Kluyveromyces lactis: one gene and its partners. The protein of the gene in region 3 purifies or fractionates together with the protein of the main gene of each other region. This does not show direct contact. Links are inferred from orthologs where the notes say so. Each region holds a gene or a part of one and is shown on either strand. Other genes may lie near its edges. The genes, in order: MGE1, RCF2, COX4, QCR8, COR1, COX9 and COX12.

Region 1 (2,663 bases), about 190 kb from region 3:
CTGCCAACGTCTGGATCACAGCAGTCAACCCAAAGTGCAGATTCGATGACTTCCAATCTAATATCCATGTACGATAGCGAACCAACAACAAGCAGCAGCACAAGCCTGGTAAACCATGGGAAAGAAAGTGAAATTATAGAGCACGATAGAGATGATAGCACAGATGAACTTGAGTCAGATATATGGCAAACTTACAAGATCCATGAACAAATTGATACGTTGGGAATATTGGGCGAAGGAACTGGAGGATCGGTCACGAAATGTAAGTTAAGGAACGGTTCAAAAATATTTGCATTGAAGACCATTGCCACGATAGAGAATGATGGCTCAGAGAAACAAATATTCAGAGAATTGCAATTCAACAAGAGTTGTAAGTCTGATTTCATAGTGAGGTATTACGGGATGTTTGCATGCGAAGAAACCTCGACAATTTTTATTGCGATGGAATATATGGGCGGAAGATCGCTAGATTCGGTGTACAAGCACCTTCTCTCTAAGGGGGGACGAATTGGTGAGAAGGTTCTGGGGAAGATAGCTGAGAGCGTACTTAGAGGACTATTTTATCTACACGAAAGAAAGATCATTCATAGAGATATTAAGCCACAGAACATATTGTTCAACGAAATAGGACAAATAAAGCTCTGCGATTTTGGAGTCAGTGGAGAGGCAGTGAACTCTCTTGCCACCACGTTTACAGGAACATCATACTACATGGCTCCAGAAAGGATACAGGGCCAGCCATACAGTGTTACCAGTGATGTATGGTCTTTGGGTCTCACACTATTGGAAGTTGCACAGGGACACTCACCATTTGATACGGATAAACTAGCAGCAAACATGCCCCCTATAGAACTTTTGATGCTTATCTTGACTTTCACACCTGAATTGAAAGATGAACCAGAACAAGGCATAGTATGGTCCAAATCCTTCAAATCGTTCCTTGATTACAGTCTGAAAAAAGATTCAAAGGATAGACCATCTCCAAGACAAATGCTACAACACCCCTGGATGGTGGGACAAACCAAGAAACACGTTAACATGAAGAAGTTTATTCAAACTTGTTGGGCGGATTGATTGCTAGCCCCTACTGGCCCACTAGATAGAACATGCAGGAACATGTATAGATAAATCATTTCTCAAATGGCTGCATGTCACGTGTTCCACAACATAAATCGGATCAAGTTTCAATTTTTTCATAGAGTTTGGTTTGAATTGAAAAAATGATCATGAAAGAGAGAAAGAACCGTATATAAGAAGACATTTAAGAAGAAAGAATTAGTAAAACAACCCAATACATCTTACATACCAACTGTCACTACCTCTTATTGACACTCAGTTGGATTTGAACTCACTTTGTTTTGCTAAATAACCACTGTTAATAGTGAGACTCAAGTCGACCAGAGAATATTTACTAACAGAATACAATAAAATATGAGACCATCAACCAGATTCTTGAGAAGCGTTACCAGAACTGTTCCAATCGGTTTCAGATCTACTACTGTGCCATTTGTATCTAGCACTTTGAGATCTAGTGCTGCAACCTCCAACCAGTTTTCTGCTAGGTTTTCCGGTGTTAGATTCTATGCTGATGAAGCCAAGAAGGAAGAACCTAAGGATGAGAACGATGCAGCTGCAGCTGAAGAAGACGCAAATTTGACTGAAGAGCAAAAAAAGATTAAAGATTTGGAAACCAAGTTGGATGCCAAGACTAAGGAAGCCTCTGAATTTAAGGACCGTTTGTTGAGATCAGTTGCTGATTTCAGAAATTTGCAAGAAGTTACCAAGAAGGATATCCAAAAGGCCAAGGATTTCGCTTTGCAAAAATTCGCCAAGGACTTGTTGGAATCCGTCGACAACTTTGGCCATGCTTTGAACGCTTTCAAACCAGAAACTCTGGAACAATCTCAAGAGCTTTCTGATCTATATACCGGTGTCAAGATGACCAGGGACGTTTTCGAAAAGACTTTGAAGAAGCACGGTATTGAACAACTAAATCCAATTGGCGAATCTTTTGATCCAAATAAGCACGAAGCTACTTTCGAATTGCCTCAACCAGACAAGGAACCAGGTACCGTTTTCCACGTTCAACAAATTGGTTACACTTTGAACGACAGAGTTATCAGACCAGCTAAGGTCGGTATTGTTAAGGACAATGAAAATTAGAAAATCTCTCAATAAAGAACCCCGAACCCAAAATCGATCTACTTCAAATGACCTTACCATGACTTATAATTTACGATAATGCTTGTTTTATGAACCTTCTAACTTTTTTTCCCCTCCTCACTCCATTTTTCTTTCATTCTGCATGATAACATCGATCAGCTTTTGAACGGAAAACATCTCTTTTTGTTCGCAGCAGGTTTGACTTTTATGTTCCCTCATAACGGTCATAATGGTCTCGCCACAATGACCCTACTTAATTCCCATGTAAATAAACTTGCACATATGTATATGAATTCTCTACCATGATCCAAAATGAAAGGACCTTTCTTTCTCTTATTAAAACGGTCTGTCATCCGTTAAGGTACGTCCGAGAGCATGAACGAAACGCATAAGTAAGAACATCCAACCCCTGCAGGCTCTACATCTTTAGTATACTCTGAACTCAATCTTCCATCAGCCACTCCACCCAAAACGGTATCTATATGAGCCCTCAAATCCTC
Region 2 (2,394 bases), on a different chromosome or scaffold from region 3:
CAATAGTCTAATATGCGTTCATTTTACAAGTATTTCAGTAGAGACTCAAGCTAGTATACATATCGGTTACGTCAAAACAGAGTGATGTACAAAACTCTGCTGGCCATATTCAAAGCAAAGGCTTTCCACATATTAAGCTCTTTTTCTTAAGAGTAGAAACCTGAAAAATAGTATTTCGGCGATTTCTCAAAATGGTAATCACTCTCCCTTGTATTAAAAGGTCAGGCTAATGAACGCAACACTGCACTAATTGCAATGGATATTATCCGAACGATCCGATGCCTTAGGTCCAAAACTGAAGCTTTTCGAAGATCCTGTAACTCTATTGGATGAATCTGGTAGGTTCCAGCTGTTAGGGTTAGTCGATGCATATTCTCTGCTCTTCCTTTTTTTTTAAACATGTGTGACTGACCAATCATATCACAGGAAACTTTGTGTCAAGGAAATGTGGAGCCACAACCGTGGCAAATTCCGACCGGCTTCTTCTCAGGTAACAACTACTAAAACCACTATCTCCGTATGCACGCGCAAATCCTTCTGAGTAGGACAGTTCGTTCGGCTGGTCCCACTTAGGTATTAGCTTCGCTAAAGTATGGATTGATTTTGAACATCAGTGTAATGAACATAGTCACTTTCTAATTGACGGAGTTATTTTCAGACAAAAACTTGTCTGACCTTTGGAAGAAATTTCAATCGAATGGTTCATTGATACGTTGATAGCAATGAACAGGTTACGCTGAGCCTGTTCATGGGCTGGCAACAAGAACGAGAGATATAGGGTTTGGCTAACTGCCAAAATTACGTAACATCAGTAGCAGTGCCTCATGGACAATCATAAATCCTAAATCGTATACGATATTGCAGGAAAAAGAAATAAAGGAACAAAGAATATTTATCATACGGGAAGGAAAAAAGTAAAAAAGTAAAATCGAACCAAAATTAAAGTATAATTGGAACAAAGGCAGGGAGGGAATTTAAAAGTATCGTATATAAGGAAGAGCATTCTCTCGGTTTATTCGTTTACAGAATCATTTCAAATTATATATATATATATCGTTTGACAGTTAAAATTTGTTAATGCTTATCCTCTTGGCTAAAATAAATATCGGGATATATTAGGATTTTGTTCCAGTATTAATTCGATATTTATCACCTTATTTAAACTAAGGGAATCAAAAGTTAGCTTAAGAGATAAGTAACTGAAAGACGAAAAAACCAGCACAGCAAGATGAAGATTTTAACAAGAGAAGAAATTGATGCTCATCGTCACTACACCCTGATGGGTGGTGTTAAAGGTGCAGCTGCAGGTCTGTTAATTTCTGCAGCTATGTTCAGGTTTTTACCCCATCGTTATCCTAAATTCAATCCAAAGGCTATGACATGGTCTGTCAAGACTGCTTTATTCATCACGCCTCCAACTCTTTTGGCTTCTATTGTCGCTGAAGAATCTTCTAACAGTTTTGATAAGAAAATGTATGGTGACTCTTCGTCCAGTGATATTCTTGCTGAACATAACAGATGGAAGAACCTGCCTATGAGCGAAAAATTGGTCGAAGGTTTGTCCAACAATAAGTACAAGATCATTGTTGGTGCATGGGCTGCTTCCTTGTATGGATCCTGGAAATTGGTTGATAGGGACTTATACATGACCAAAGCCCAAAAGGCTGTGCAGGCAAGAATGTATGCTCAAGGTATAACTGTGATTTTGTTACTAGCCTCAATTGGTTTATCTATGTACGAGGAAAAGCTACATCCAGATCAAAAGAAGGAGGCTAGAGACCGTCGTTGGCAAGCGGCTTTGGAGCATGCTGAGAAGGAAGAAGAGATGGCTGCAACCGCTGGTTACAGAAGTAACGAAGACAGAGTTAAGGCCAAGATTTTTAAATATGATTGAATTTTTGAAGAATTCAATCTAGCTGAGGTGAAATACGATATTGCCTTCACACTACAAGGCGTACAATTCTATTTTCACCCTCATCACATCCTTCTTGTGAATAATTTTGACCCATATACTATTAACTGTTTTTTTTTTACAGCACTGCCTTGTACGAAATGAAATGAAGCAGATCTAACGTACCAAATCTACCTTTCATGGTGAGTTATTTTGTCTCACATTATTCTATGTCATGACAAGTTAATAAAAGAAGATCTATTTTTTATCATTGATTATTGTAACAGTTTCATTGCATCGTGGCGCAACCATCCACGAGATCAAAAATGCGGGCGTGCTGCCTTACCTGTTATGGTTGTTTTTTAATGTCAGCTTATTTCAATTTTTTTTCAATAGAGACGGCTGGTACGGCTTTCATAACATTATACCACTACTTTTTTGAACCAATCAAGAACCTTCATAAATTATCAAAAATGCGGACCAAAATTGCTTGTAATCTTTTC
Region 3 (2,244 bases):
CCATCCAATTATCAAGTGTGATGTTAGCCAAGGTGCCTCGTTGGATCTGGGCTATCGGATGTACCATCTTTTACCTCGTATGTGCGCTAGTAGGTAGAAACAGTTTTTCCACCATCTTGGGAAATTTCCTACCTATGATTGGTTACTGGATTAGCATGTACTTCATCTTACTCGTGGAAGAGAACGTCATCTTTAGAAACTGGTTCCACCATCTATATAAATTGGAATTCCCCAATGACATAGAAGTGAAACCACATCATAAACTAAGGAAATTACCAAGGCACATCCACAGGTACAACTGGGATGAATGGGACAACTCTGAAGTCATCACAAGAGGATTGGCTGCATCCGCTGCGTTCTGCATCGGTGTTGCTGGTGTGGTACTTGGAATGTGTCAAACGTATTACGTGGGGCCACTTGCCGCAAAGATTGGCGAGTATGGCGGAGATTTAGGTATGTGGCTCGGTATGGGTTTCGCAGGAGTATCATATCCACCACTAAGGTACTGCGAACTGAAGAAATTTGGCAGGTGAACCATTTTCCCCATTATCTGACATTATACACATATAATAGAAACACACATATATGTACACACATATATGTATATAACCTGTCACGCGACGCGCGCCAGATCAAATGAATAATCTCTTTAATATTAATGGCATGGCATTGCCTATATAAATCACATGACCTCTAGCCAACCATATCGCAGAATTCTCACTCAATTGACAACACCCACACTAGATCCTACTCTCGCCGGAAACAAAATAGAAACAAATACGAAAGACTACTCCAGCTAAAAAATGTGTACATCACTATGTACGAGTAGACACCTTTTTTGTATCTTTCCTTCTTCTCCCTGCTCCAATCATACTGGGAAACATGATGTGATTTTTGTACGTTTTTTGTTATAAGCGATAATTTTCATTTCTTGATTTTCGCAGGATATTGGAACCGAATGTATATATATGAATAATATTTTCAACAGTGATTTCAGAGTTTTAGAAAGTAGCTAAAGACGTTTTATCAAGTTTGTTCAAGAGAGTCATACGTTTGTTTCAGAGGGTTTTCTTTCGCCGATTACTTTCATTTGCGAATATATTCAACTGATCACCTTATCTGTCTCAGCTAGCTTACAGTATCCAAGTGGTTCTTTTTGTCATATATTGCTAATTGATTAGTTCATTACAATTCAAATATACCTTTGTTCCATCGTTTTAGATTCACACATCGGAGTATCTAAGTTATCACCTATCAATCCAATCACAAAGAAGAAATAATGTTGTCTCTACGTCAATCCCTATCGAAGTTGTTCGGCCCAGCATCCAGAGCTTTTGCTACCACCAAGGTTGCAGGTGATCAACAAGTTGTTAAGACTGCTACCAAGTTGGCTGAAGTTAACGGTGCTGACACTTTGATTGGTCCTGGTGCCAAAGACGGTGAAGTTCCAACCGAATTGGACCAAGCCACTGGTTTAGCCAGATTGGAATTGTTGGGTAAATTGGAAGGTATCGAAGTTTTCGACACCAAGCCATTGGACTCTTCCAGAATCGGTACCATGGAAAACCCAATCATTGTTGAATCCTACGATGACTACCGTTATGTCGGTGCCACTGGTTCCCCAGCTGGTTCTCACAACGTCATGTGGTTGAAGCCAACCGACGGTCAAGTCGCCAGATGTTGGGAAACCGGTTGTGTATACAAGCTTAAGATGGTCGGTGTTCCTCAAGAAGGTCACCATTAAGCATTTTAATCCTTCCTTCCATATCATTCCCACTTATCCTGGTAAAAAAAGGATTAACAACCAGTGTACCACTATATCATTCTAAAAATTCCAATACAAATGTCAAATACACAAACCTATTCTAAAATATTACAAAATAATAAATTACACAAGCTGAAGCAACAAATTACACAAAAAGTTTAGTGGGGACATATACTTGAACTGGTCCTGCACATAATCAAGATTTGTTTATATGTTTGGAAAGCGGGGAACAGGCCAGATCTATTGAATTTTAAAAGAATGATTGATTCATATTTTATACCAATTGCCTCTATTTCTTTCCCCCCCCGGATCGTTTAAACCAATTAAAGACTTATGTTACACATTGTTTCTCTACATACTACATTTCACAGGTAAGAACTCATTATTTAAATTAAGTACGATTTTATCAATAAAATTTCAAAAAAAAAAGTCTTTGTTTCAAGGTGACACCGAGGGTCAGTATGACAATTACCGATACA
Region 4 (2,066 bases), on a different chromosome or scaffold from region 3:
TCTTGGCCGGGTACGGTATGCCCGAAGAAGCCATCGAATGGTACGAAAAATCATTGAACTACAACACCCCAGGTGGTAAGTTGAACCGTGGTCTTTCTGTCGTTGACACATACGCGCTTTTGAAAGGTTACAAGTCAGTGAGCGAACTATCTGCAGAAGAGTACAAGAAGGTTGCCATCCTTGGTTGGTGTATTGAACTGTTGCAAGCGTACTTCTTGGTTGCTGATGACATGATGGACCAATCGATCACAAGAAGAGGACAACCATGTTGGTACAAAGTGGAAAACGTCGGCGACATTGCGATCAACGATGCATTCATGTTGGAAGGTGCCATCTACTGTCTGTTGAAGAAACACTTCAGAACAGAGCCATACTACGTCGATCTATTGGAATTGTTCCATGACGTTACTTTTCAAACCGAATTGGGTCAGTTGTTGGATTTGATCACTGCACCAGAGGACAAAGTCGACTTATCCAAGTTCTCTTTGGAAAAGCATTCCTTCATCGTTATCTTCAAGACTGCATACTACTCTTTCTACTTAGCAGTGGCACTGGCCATGTTTGCTGCCGGTATTACCGACTCAAAGGACTTGAAACAGGCCAGCGACGTATTGATCCCATTGGGAGAATATTTCCAAATCCAAGACGATTTCTTGGATTGTTTCGGTAAACCAGAAGATATCGGTAAGATTGGTACCGATATCCAAGACAACAAATGTTCTTGGGTCATCAACGTTGCATTGAAGAATGCTACAAAAGAACAAAGAGATATCTTGGACGAAAACTACGGTAGAAAGGATTCTGAAAAGGAACAAAAATGTAGAGCTGTATTCAACGAATTGAACATCCAAGACATCTACCACAAGTACGAAGAAGAAACCGCTTCCAACTTAAGAGAGAAAATCGCTAACATCGACGAATCCCGTGGGTTCAAGGCCGAAGTTCTAACCTTGTTCTTGAACAAAATATACCACAGAAAGAAGTAGGTAAAGCATATATTATCTAACCATTTTAGATCACGTGCAACTAAATAAATAAAAGTAAGTTTCACTACCAGTATCACTGTATACGAACCAATAATACTACGTTTCGGCCTTTTCGCTTCTAAAAGACGAAGTCTTGAAAATCTTCCAGCGAGGGAAAAAGCTTTATATATAAGAAATAAGCTTTAAACCTCTACTTATTCAGATATTCAAATGATGCAAAGATGGAAAACTATTATACATAGTTTAGTCTCTGACTCAGTATCCGCAAGACCAAGAATTAAAATATTAAGACGAAATGGGTGGTCCACATGCTAAGGCTTACATGGGCTGGTGGGGTAGTATAGGTTCCCCAGCCCAAAAGGGTATTACTACATACACTGTTTCTCCATATGCTCAAAAGCCATTGAACAACATCTTCCACAACGCTGTTTTTAACACATTTAGAAGAGTTAAGAGCCAAATTTTGTACATGGCTCTTCCAGCTGCTTTGTACTGGGCTTGGTGGGTCAACTGCAGAGACTACAACGCTTACTTGTACACTAAGGCCGGTAGAGAAGAATTAGAAAGAGTTAACGTTTAAACAATGTTATTACAACACTAGACTAGTTCCTTTCTTTCTTCTGTCCAGGTTTAAAAGCTTACATGGAAAAAGAGGTGCGGCAGCACCCTTTTGACACTTTTATCAACATTCAAGATATATTTCTCACGTCACAAGAACATTTTTTATCATGTCAGGCCATCGAAAAGAGTTTCAGTATTATTAGATACTATTGAAAAGGAGAGAGCGAGTGGAAGTTCACATCCTCGGTTTTTAATTCTCTCTTTTCGGGTTTGGCTCAGTACCGTATTTATTGGAGGTTTTCATCAAGTGGTTACTCCCCTCAAATATATCTTCTATACTTCACTGTTTATACGAATTTGAAAAACTACTTTATTATGAATACTTACATCTGCGTGTCAAGGGCGTGATCGTCGTGCTCATATGTCGACGATCGGTGTGCTTGCCTGTTTTACATGTATATATATATATAGATGGATAAGTTTCTCCACTAATGAAAGTCACGTGACGTTATTACTTTC
Region 5 (3,260 bases), on a different chromosome or scaffold from region 3:
TCTTGATGGTTAAAATGTATTCAATTGCTCACCAGTAAATGACAGTATCATAAATAAGGACATTGAACTCATATTTTTGTTTCGACGAATAATGAGCGAGATTTTGATTTATTTCGATTTAGCCTAAATTTTCAAATATCATTTGGAATTAAAAAATACATTATGTTCATTAAATGTATTGATCTTGAGGAGCTGTGACAGAGCGAAAAATCGAATGCGCCAGTAAACACCCTAGACTTTAGTCCAAAACAGTAAAATATTGATATAAATCGATCGTGACAAATTTCTTTTTTTGGGGGAATATACACACATGAAATTAAACTGTAACTTATTACTCATCGAGTGATATGGTTATAACAACTCAAAAGTAAATGTTACAGGGAGTAATTCTACTCAGTCGAGTAGAAAAGAGAGAATTGTTTTTAGAATGACCGTCGTGAAATGAGAATATAATATAAAAAGAATTGTTAAAATATCTTAAGACTCGGCTTTTAGTTTGATTACCATCTCATCATACTCATGTCGTTTCTCATTCTGACGTAGTCCAACAAGTCTTCAATCTTACCAGTACCGGCAACAGCGATATCTTGATCCCATAATCTTTCGGAAGCCCAAGCCTTAATATCCTTGGAGGTAATTTTGTCAATCTTAGTGAAGACTTCAGCCAAGGCTGGCTTAGCACCCAAAACCAAGGTTTGAGCACCCAACAAGTTAGCAGCAGCAGCGTTGGTAGAAACTTGAGAAGCCAACTTCAACTTTAACAAAGACTTAGCACGAGCGACTTCAGTTTCGGTGACAGAGATGGACAATCTGTTCCATTGCTTCAAAGTGAAATGGACAGTTTCATCGATGTTGTGTGGGTCGGTGATGGTGGTTCTGAAACCCCACAAACCGGAGTCCTTATAAGAGACAGAGAAGTGTTCGAAAGAGTCACACAAGTGGTATTCGTTAACTTCGTCGATCAACTTAACACCTTGTAGGTTGGAAGCTGGTTCAGCAGCAACGAAAGTACCGAAGACTTCAGCAGCGACTTGAGCAACATAGTATTGTGGAGAATTGATAGGTTCACCTTCAGCAGCGATAGATACCCAAGCCTTTGGTAGAGTATCATCTCTTAGTCTGACTTCAGAACCCAAGAAAGTGGACTTCTTCTTTGGCACTGGTTTGTCACCAGATAGCAAAGAAAGCTTAGTTTCAACAGCCTTGACCAATTCATCGTGGTTAACGTTACCGGTACCAACAATAACAGAGTTGTTTGCCTTGAATTGGTTTTGAACGAAGTTGGACAAGTCGATGTTTTCCAAACCTTCTAGAGTTTCGACAGTACCTCTGACTGGCAAAGACAATGGAGTGTTTTGGAAAGCAGTGGCGTGCAAGTGTTCGAAAACACGTTGTTCGTGTTCAGTTTCTTCGAACTTGGCAACAGTGTCTACAGTAGCTCTCTTGGAACTTTCGAAGACGGAGTCCTCAATTGGAGCGAAAAGCTTGGATTGCAAGAATTCTAGAGCCTTAGCATATTGACCTGGTTGAGAGTTAACAATGTAAGATTGGTGGTCTCTGCCAACCTTGGTTTCTAAGGAGAATCCCAATTTTTGAGCATCCTTGATAGAAGAGTTGACAAAGGAGTTAGCCAACAAGTTGGAAACACCGTTGTTGTATGGGTTTTCGGCAGTAGTACCGGAACCGAACACCAAACCGACCGCAGCAGTGGCAGAGTTGCTGTTTGGTTCAGTAGCAACAACAACACCGTTAGATAGTTCGGTGACGATGGCTTTTGGGGTAATTTGAGTGGCAATGGTTCTCTTCAAGATTGAAGATCTAGTAGCGGTTCTCAACATCTTTCTTATGGCAAATAATTGGTTATAATCCGTTTAATCAATATAGTGTGTTGAATTTGTACGTGCAAAATAAATAGAATACGGGATCAAAAACAAGTCAATGAGCTCCCAAATGTAATACCTTCGAAGTTATAATTCTCGTTTACTTTTTTCCTTGGAAACCTTTCTGTTGGTATACTATCGATTCAAAAAACAGTATAGTGGTATTTCACTGAAAAAAATATAAAGCAAAGTTTGGATAGTTTTTAGCCTAACTGAATTCTCAATTTCCTTAAAATTGTGCACACTTGACTGAAGCAATATACAAGAGTAGAAAACTATAAACAGGTCTAAATAAAGTTAGTGTACTTTCATTAAACAAATATCAATGATTTATCTAACTACTTTTAATTTTTTTTTAATTTTGGAAGGTTACACTATATGAAAAAAGTGAAAAATGTTGATACTGAGAGCGCTGTCTAGTTTTTCGATATTTCCATAATTTTTTTTTTTTACCTCTTCTTCTTTGTCTTCTCTGTAGCATAGAGATTTTCTTTCATTGGACAACGACCTGTCCACATAATTAATAGGGGACCCCCTTTGAACAATTATTAAAATCGTTTCTGGCCGAGAAACTGGTCCGAAAAACAAAAATTTACATAGTAGCGAGTACTTTTCGGGACGAGAATTTAGCCCCAAAACTGCTAATTCCATCTGCTCGAACATTTCCAATCAAATCGACATTTTTGGGATTGCATATCCCTCTTTCTCGCTCATCTCGCAGTTACGGAAGTATCGGTACCAGCATTTCTTTTCCCATAATAAACAGTGGAAATGCTCGATTTCCTATGGTAAGCGGTAAACTTTGAATGAAAAATGAACCGTGAAATACGATGCCCGAACTGGATTTCCATTGGTTCGTCAAAGATGATCAAATACCGAGATTGAAATTCGACTCACGTGAATAAAATTACACTTACCCGCACAATAGAAAGATTCGGGTAAGTACCAAAGTCCAAATGAGTACTTTTTTTTTTTTTGATTACTTGCTTGCTTGCTGGTGGTTTGTGCGTACAGTGTAAGTGTTCGATTCTCGCCTTGAAAACACCGCAACGAATATCCATTCGGATTTACTCTTCGGAAATAAAATCATCATTTCATTCGCCAACTATCCCTGCATGTATTTACGACTTCTTCAAGCAAGGTTTCTAAGAAATTTAGAAGGGAGCTTATTCCCGCAAAGCAAAATGCGCTGAAAAATGGTCGGTCCATCAGGATCCAAATATCTTAACTCCCATGTAATCCCCGTCCGGAACGGTTGTTGTTCTTGCCGCCAGTTTTGAAAGAATGCCTCCCGTATTATTTCAGTTTTCTTTTGACATGGATTCTTGGGTTAACAGCCGTGGTAAAATAGCTCCGCGGGATCTATTTTATTACATGGAA
Region 6 (2,049 bases), on a different chromosome or scaffold from region 3:
ACTTCCAGCGATAAGGTAACAAACCAGAGAGTATTCCTATTTGCAAAATAAGATTGTTTAACAGAGACAATCACCTTCTTTGGAAATCGACAAAAGGTCACATGAAATCCTTAAGTCTTTGTTTAGTAACTCCTCCAAGAAAAAACAAACAGTCGAGATGCGGTATTGCTTCCACTCATGAATAATAATACTGATAGGAGAAGAAGTCATAATATGAGAACGTATTAGCATGATAAAAGGGTACCGAATAAAAAAAAATACCATTAATGATTTTTAACCAATAATTCATCAGAATGACTGTTAATCTGTGTATGTGTTGACATAAATAGAGAAATAAAAGGTTGTGGGATGTTATAGTAACGATAGGTAATTGGGAGGAAAAAAAGGATCGAATACAATTCTCCGTATTATGGACACAGAGGTTTCAAACCTCATGGCCGCACACGAATATGTTGATTTAGATAGAAAAACACAAAGTATTGCGTTTTTTTATTCAGTCCTTAGTTTTCAGCAGCCTTTTGTTCAGCCAACTTAGCGTAGTAAGCTTCTCTCTTGTTGATGATGTTCTTGTGGAAACCCCACCACCAATAGGAAGCCATAGCACCACCAATAGCGAAACCGATGGTGATATCGGCCAAGATTCTCTTTCTAATAGTACCAGTGATTGGAGCAATTGCAGACATTATTCTTTGATGTGAAGTGAGAGTGATTGATGTGAGATGAACAAACCGTTAAGGATAGCAACAGCTAATGAAAAAGGCTAAAGTCAACACTAAGAGGGGACAGAGGAAAGATATACAAAGTACTAATCAAATATCAAAATTTCAAGAAGTAAAAGAAAATCAGAAAAACCATACGACTAAAGTAAAGAACCGAAGACAGTTAGAAAAAAAATTAACCAAAACCTGTAATGGATAGTAGAGCCAGGTAAGTTTATTTCAATTTTTTTTAATTTTTAAAGTTTCTCGATTTTTCAAGCTGTCACCAAGAGGGAATTGACATTCAGAACTCCAGTAATACCGAGTCATACTGTAGTGTGGATTTTCAAGACAATATCTGATTGAGACTCTCAGTAGGTTCCGGTAGAACCTACTATCGGTTGCCCATCAATATAGCCAAGAGAGAGGTATCGCTTTTCTTCCTCTAATACTGACAGCACCGGATTGGCAAAGAGGGAAGATTTCCCGTCAGAGAAACTCTGGGGCAGCCATTGATCGCAGGTCATGTGCCTCTTATCATCTTAGTGTAGTTAGTACAAGTAGACAAGAAAGGATCTCGCGTTAAAACCGAAATTCCCATTAGCCAATGATATCCCAGGATTCGACGTGAGTGTGTCTGTATTCAGAAAAATATGTACACGGGGAAATCACGTTCCACGAAGACACAGCAGAGCTTTGCTTTAAGAGTGAAAGTCGGAAATCTTACACCATTACCCGGATACTCCGTTTGTGTCTCACTACTTTCTGAGCCGTTTTCCCACTTCTGTCAATTTTTTTTGTTATTGCACGACTTTTTCCTAATCCTGTTTCTCTTCTTAGCAGCGATAGAAAGGTAAAAAAAATATATCGTATTATTTTTTTTTTCATATTTCAATACAATTAGCACTGCAATTTACAACTCTTGTTAAGGATGGTTTATAGTTTATTGTTGATATTAATAACTTTGTTTCGATAACCTAGCGTCCAATACCACAGCAAATATTCCAATCAAAACATGTTTTCCCAAGTTACCAGACTAGCCACCAGAAGAGCCTTCTCTGCCACTTCCAAGCAATGTGGTGCCCACTTCAAGGAAGGTGTTTACTCGAACATCCCAGTTAAGATTCACAACAGAAAGATCCCATACGCTTTCATCCACTTCGGTTTCTTTGCTCTAGGTTTTGCTGTTCCATTCATCTCTTCTTACGTGCAATTGAAGAAGTTTGGTGCTTTCTAAATGAGTGGATAGAAATAAATTTCCTGCCCTCTTTGTTATATCGTATCCTTTCACAATAATTTTCGTTTTATTTTCATGTCATCATTGCTACACATTCCATCCATCTGCAAATGT
Region 7 (2,129 bases), on a different chromosome or scaffold from region 3:
ACAAAGTTTAAACTGTGTTCTAAATTGATCTTTCTTTGTAAATTTTTTTTATGAGAGTATTGTTTTAATAAAAGTGAAACTTGTACTGGGATTTCCGGATCTCCATCAATGTTACTTAATTTCCACACTAAGGTCTGGAATGATGATCCAAGACGCTGAAACTTATATTGAGTGGAAAACGTTACAAAGTGACAATAACATCGAAAGGGGAAACGGAGGACGGATGTGAATGGGATAATAAATATATTGTTTTAAAAAGAAAATGAATGAAAAATCGATGGGACAGAAAACAGTGAAGCCATTGTTCGAGGAAAGTGAATGAAAATAATAAAAGAGGAAGATACGTTAAGTACGAATCATAACAGATAATTTCAGTATCTGTTGTCACATCTTGCTCCAAATGAATATCATCTTTTTTTGTTTTTAGTTTTCCTAAACTAGTTCTTCACTAATTAACTGCCTCTTTTTTCATCGCATTATATCACATATTTCCAACCAGTTTATGGGTTAATGTCACCAGCAAAGATACCCTGGGATCTTTGTTCATCCCACTTTTCAACCCAGTCAACTGGACATAGAGAGGAGTAGGTCTTCCAGAAAACCTTGCATGGAGCGAAGTCTTCACCCTTAGCATTGATACACTTGTGGTAATCCACGTACGATTGCCAGCAGTGCTTTGTTTGGTTTTGGTTTGGGAATCTAGCGTCGAAACCAACGGTGTGTAATGGAGATTCTTGATTTTCAGCCATTGTAATAGGGTTTATCGGTGATGATGTTTGAACAAAGAGTGATCTTAATTAACCTGAACAAAATCAATACAAAACTAAAATATCTTTGAATAAGAATGAACAAACAAATCTCAAACTAATCTAAAACTAAAACTCAAAACAAAAATAACAACAAGAATTGAAAAGAATAGTTCTTAAACTTCTTTATTTTAATTCTAAAAACTAATCAGTTAAACTAAATAGAAAGTTAGAATAATCAAAATCTTTTTTTCGGCTTCAAGAAAAACTATGAAAATATCATTCGAAAATTTCATTAGGAATGAAAAAAAAAAAAAAGATGAAATATCGTAACATTAAGAAGAGGTAGCACAAACAGATACTCCGCAGACATAGACTTTAATAGTAATATTACTAGTATATATCCAGCGTAAAAGGGGTCAATTGAATATTACATCTACCCTAGTATACAGCTGTGTAGTACCAGAGAAAGGAGTACATATGCTTCGTTCAATTAAAAGCGTAACTGTAAAATACCTGGTTAATTGCGAAAAAATCGCAGTATATGATGGTAACACTTTTCCATTCAGCAAGAAAACGCATCATCTTCTTATTATGGCACGAGATGTTTGATTTGAATAGTGTGAGCATACATATTTTATATGGGGTTTGAATGTAATCGTCTTTGACGATGCAGTCCTTGTGATTGGCCGAGTATCACGTGACAAGTGCGGTTAGAAAAAAGGTATTTCCCAGTATTAATTAGATCATGTCCAGACAAGTCTGTGCTAGTGTAGTATTTCCCTTACTGTCTAGTGCTCTTAAGAATCGAATTAGTTGTAGAGCGAAATCCCAATACTCTTGTGCTTGCTCTTTTGTAGTTGAAAGAGTGGCAGTGGATACGAATATCTTGAGGACTTGACCTATGACTGTTTCGTCTTTTAGGATGGTGGATACACTAGTATCTGGAGAAGTCTCTCTACTATCAGATTCCTTGAGTCCGTTTGTATGGCTCTTTTCCTTGTTCTTGTTCTTGTTCTTGTTTTTGTTGTTCTTGTTCTTGTTGTTCTTGTTCTTTCGTTTTGTGGACTTTGTCGTGACCTCTTCCTGTTTAGATTCACTATCGCCCTCGTCATAGTTTAAGAATACCATCAAAAGCGTACCCAAGATCTTCGCTTCAGATAGAGCAATGCACTTGGTGATAAGATCTCTTGGAGTTAGTTTTAGATTCTCAAATAAGTAGTCCCAATGTTTTGTTTCGATCTTTCTTAAACAATTCCCTACGATTTCAAGTTTACCAACTTCATTCTTAATCCCGCCTGAATTTTTATCATAGGTATCGATTAATGATAATATGGAGTTCAAGTCCTCATGTTCCAATACTTTACTGGATAGAATTTTTTC

The links.
Region 1: the proteins of COX4 (region 3) and MGE1 purify together in Saccharomyces cerevisiae (affinity purification with western blotting; 3 studies listed by BioGRID, with this or other methods). This does not show direct contact. The link is inferred for Kluyveromyces lactis from reciprocal best matches to the Saccharomyces cerevisiae genes COX4 and MGE1.
Region 2: the proteins of COX4 (region 3) and RCF2 purify together in Saccharomyces cerevisiae (affinity purification with mass spectrometry; 5 studies listed by BioGRID, with this or other methods). This does not show direct contact. The link is inferred for Kluyveromyces lactis from reciprocal best matches to the Saccharomyces cerevisiae genes COX4 and RCF2.
Region 4: the proteins of COX4 (region 3) and QCR8 purify together in Saccharomyces cerevisiae (affinity purification with mass spectrometry; 5 studies listed by BioGRID, with this or other methods). This does not show direct contact. The link is inferred for Kluyveromyces lactis from reciprocal best matches to the Saccharomyces cerevisiae genes COX4 and QCR8.
Region 5: the proteins of COX4 (region 3) and COR1 purify together in Saccharomyces cerevisiae (affinity purification with western blotting; 9 studies listed by BioGRID, with this or other methods). This does not show direct contact. The link is inferred for Kluyveromyces lactis from reciprocal best matches to the Saccharomyces cerevisiae genes COX4 and COR1.
Region 6: the proteins of COX4 (region 3) and COX9 purify together in Saccharomyces cerevisiae (affinity purification with mass spectrometry; 4 studies listed by BioGRID, with this or other methods). This does not show direct contact. The link is inferred for Kluyveromyces lactis from reciprocal best matches to the Saccharomyces cerevisiae genes COX4 and COX9.
Region 7: the proteins of COX4 (region 3) and COX12 purify together in Saccharomyces cerevisiae (affinity purification with mass spectrometry, with the first as the bait; 3 studies listed by BioGRID). This does not show direct contact. The link is inferred for Kluyveromyces lactis from reciprocal best matches to the Saccharomyces cerevisiae genes COX4 and COX12.

The regions. Positions count from the first base shown.
Region 1 is NC_006040.1:623,676-626,338, forward strand, and holds MGE1 (mitochondrial nucleotide exchange factor MGE1), read left to right. Parts: upstream 1-1,431; coding exon 1,432-2,163; downstream 2,164-2,663. Other genes in the region: mitogen-activated protein kinase kinase MKK1, read left to right, coding at 1-1,074. UniProt on the Saccharomyces cerevisiae protein: Essential component of the PAM complex, a complex required for the translocation of transit peptide-containing proteins from the inner membrane into the mitochondrial matrix in an ATP-dependent manner.
Region 2 is NC_006042.1:573,921-576,314, reverse strand, and holds RCF2 (Rcf2p), read left to right. Parts: upstream 1-1,228; coding exon 1,229-1,894; downstream 1,895-2,394. UniProt on the Saccharomyces cerevisiae protein: Assembly factor that plays a role in the assembly of the respiratory chain supercomplexes (SCs) composed of ubiquinol-cytochrome c oxidoreductase (cytochrome b-c1 complex, complex III, CIII) and cytochrome c oxidase (complex IV, CIV).
Region 3 is NC_006040.1:437,374-439,617, forward strand, and holds COX4 (cytochrome c oxidase subunit IV), read left to right. Parts: upstream 1-1,279; coding exon 1,280-1,744; downstream 1,745-2,244. Other genes in the region: TPN1 (Tpn1p), read left to right, coding at 1-533. UniProt on the Saccharomyces cerevisiae protein: Component of the cytochrome c oxidase, the last enzyme in the mitochondrial electron transport chain which drives oxidative phosphorylation.
Region 4 is NC_006037.1:609,774-611,839, forward strand, and holds QCR8 (ubiquinol--cytochrome-c reductase subunit 8), read left to right. Parts: upstream 1-1,281; coding exon 1,282-1,566; downstream 1,567-2,066. Other genes in the region: ERG20 (bifunctional (2E,6E)-farnesyl diphosphate synthase/dimethylallyltranstransferase), read left to right, coding at 1-986. UniProt on the Saccharomyces cerevisiae protein: Component of the ubiquinol-cytochrome c oxidoreductase, a multisubunit transmembrane complex that is part of the mitochondrial electron transport chain which drives oxidative phosphorylation.
Region 5 is NC_006041.1:507,736-510,995, reverse strand, and holds COR1 (ubiquinol--cytochrome-c reductase subunit COR1), read right to left. Parts: upstream 1,839-3,260; coding exon 501-1,838; downstream 1-500. UniProt on the Saccharomyces cerevisiae protein: Component of the ubiquinol-cytochrome c oxidoreductase, a multisubunit transmembrane complex that is part of the mitochondrial electron transport chain which drives oxidative phosphorylation.
Region 6 is NC_006038.1:298,877-300,925, forward strand, and holds COX9 (cytochrome c oxidase subunit VIIa), read right to left. Parts: upstream 684-2,049; coding exon 501-683; downstream 1-500. Other genes in the region: COX8 (cytochrome c oxidase subunit VIII), read left to right, coding at 1,714-1,935. UniProt on the Saccharomyces cerevisiae protein: Component of the cytochrome c oxidase, the last enzyme in the mitochondrial electron transport chain which drives oxidative phosphorylation.
Region 7 is NC_006042.1:1,581,470-1,583,598, reverse strand, and holds COX12 (cytochrome c oxidase subunit VIb), read right to left. Parts: upstream 750-2,129; coding exon 501-749; downstream 1-500. Other genes in the region: RIC1 (Ric1p), read right to left, coding at 1,488-2,129. UniProt on the Saccharomyces cerevisiae protein: Component of the cytochrome c oxidase, the last enzyme in the mitochondrial electron transport chain which drives oxidative phosphorylation.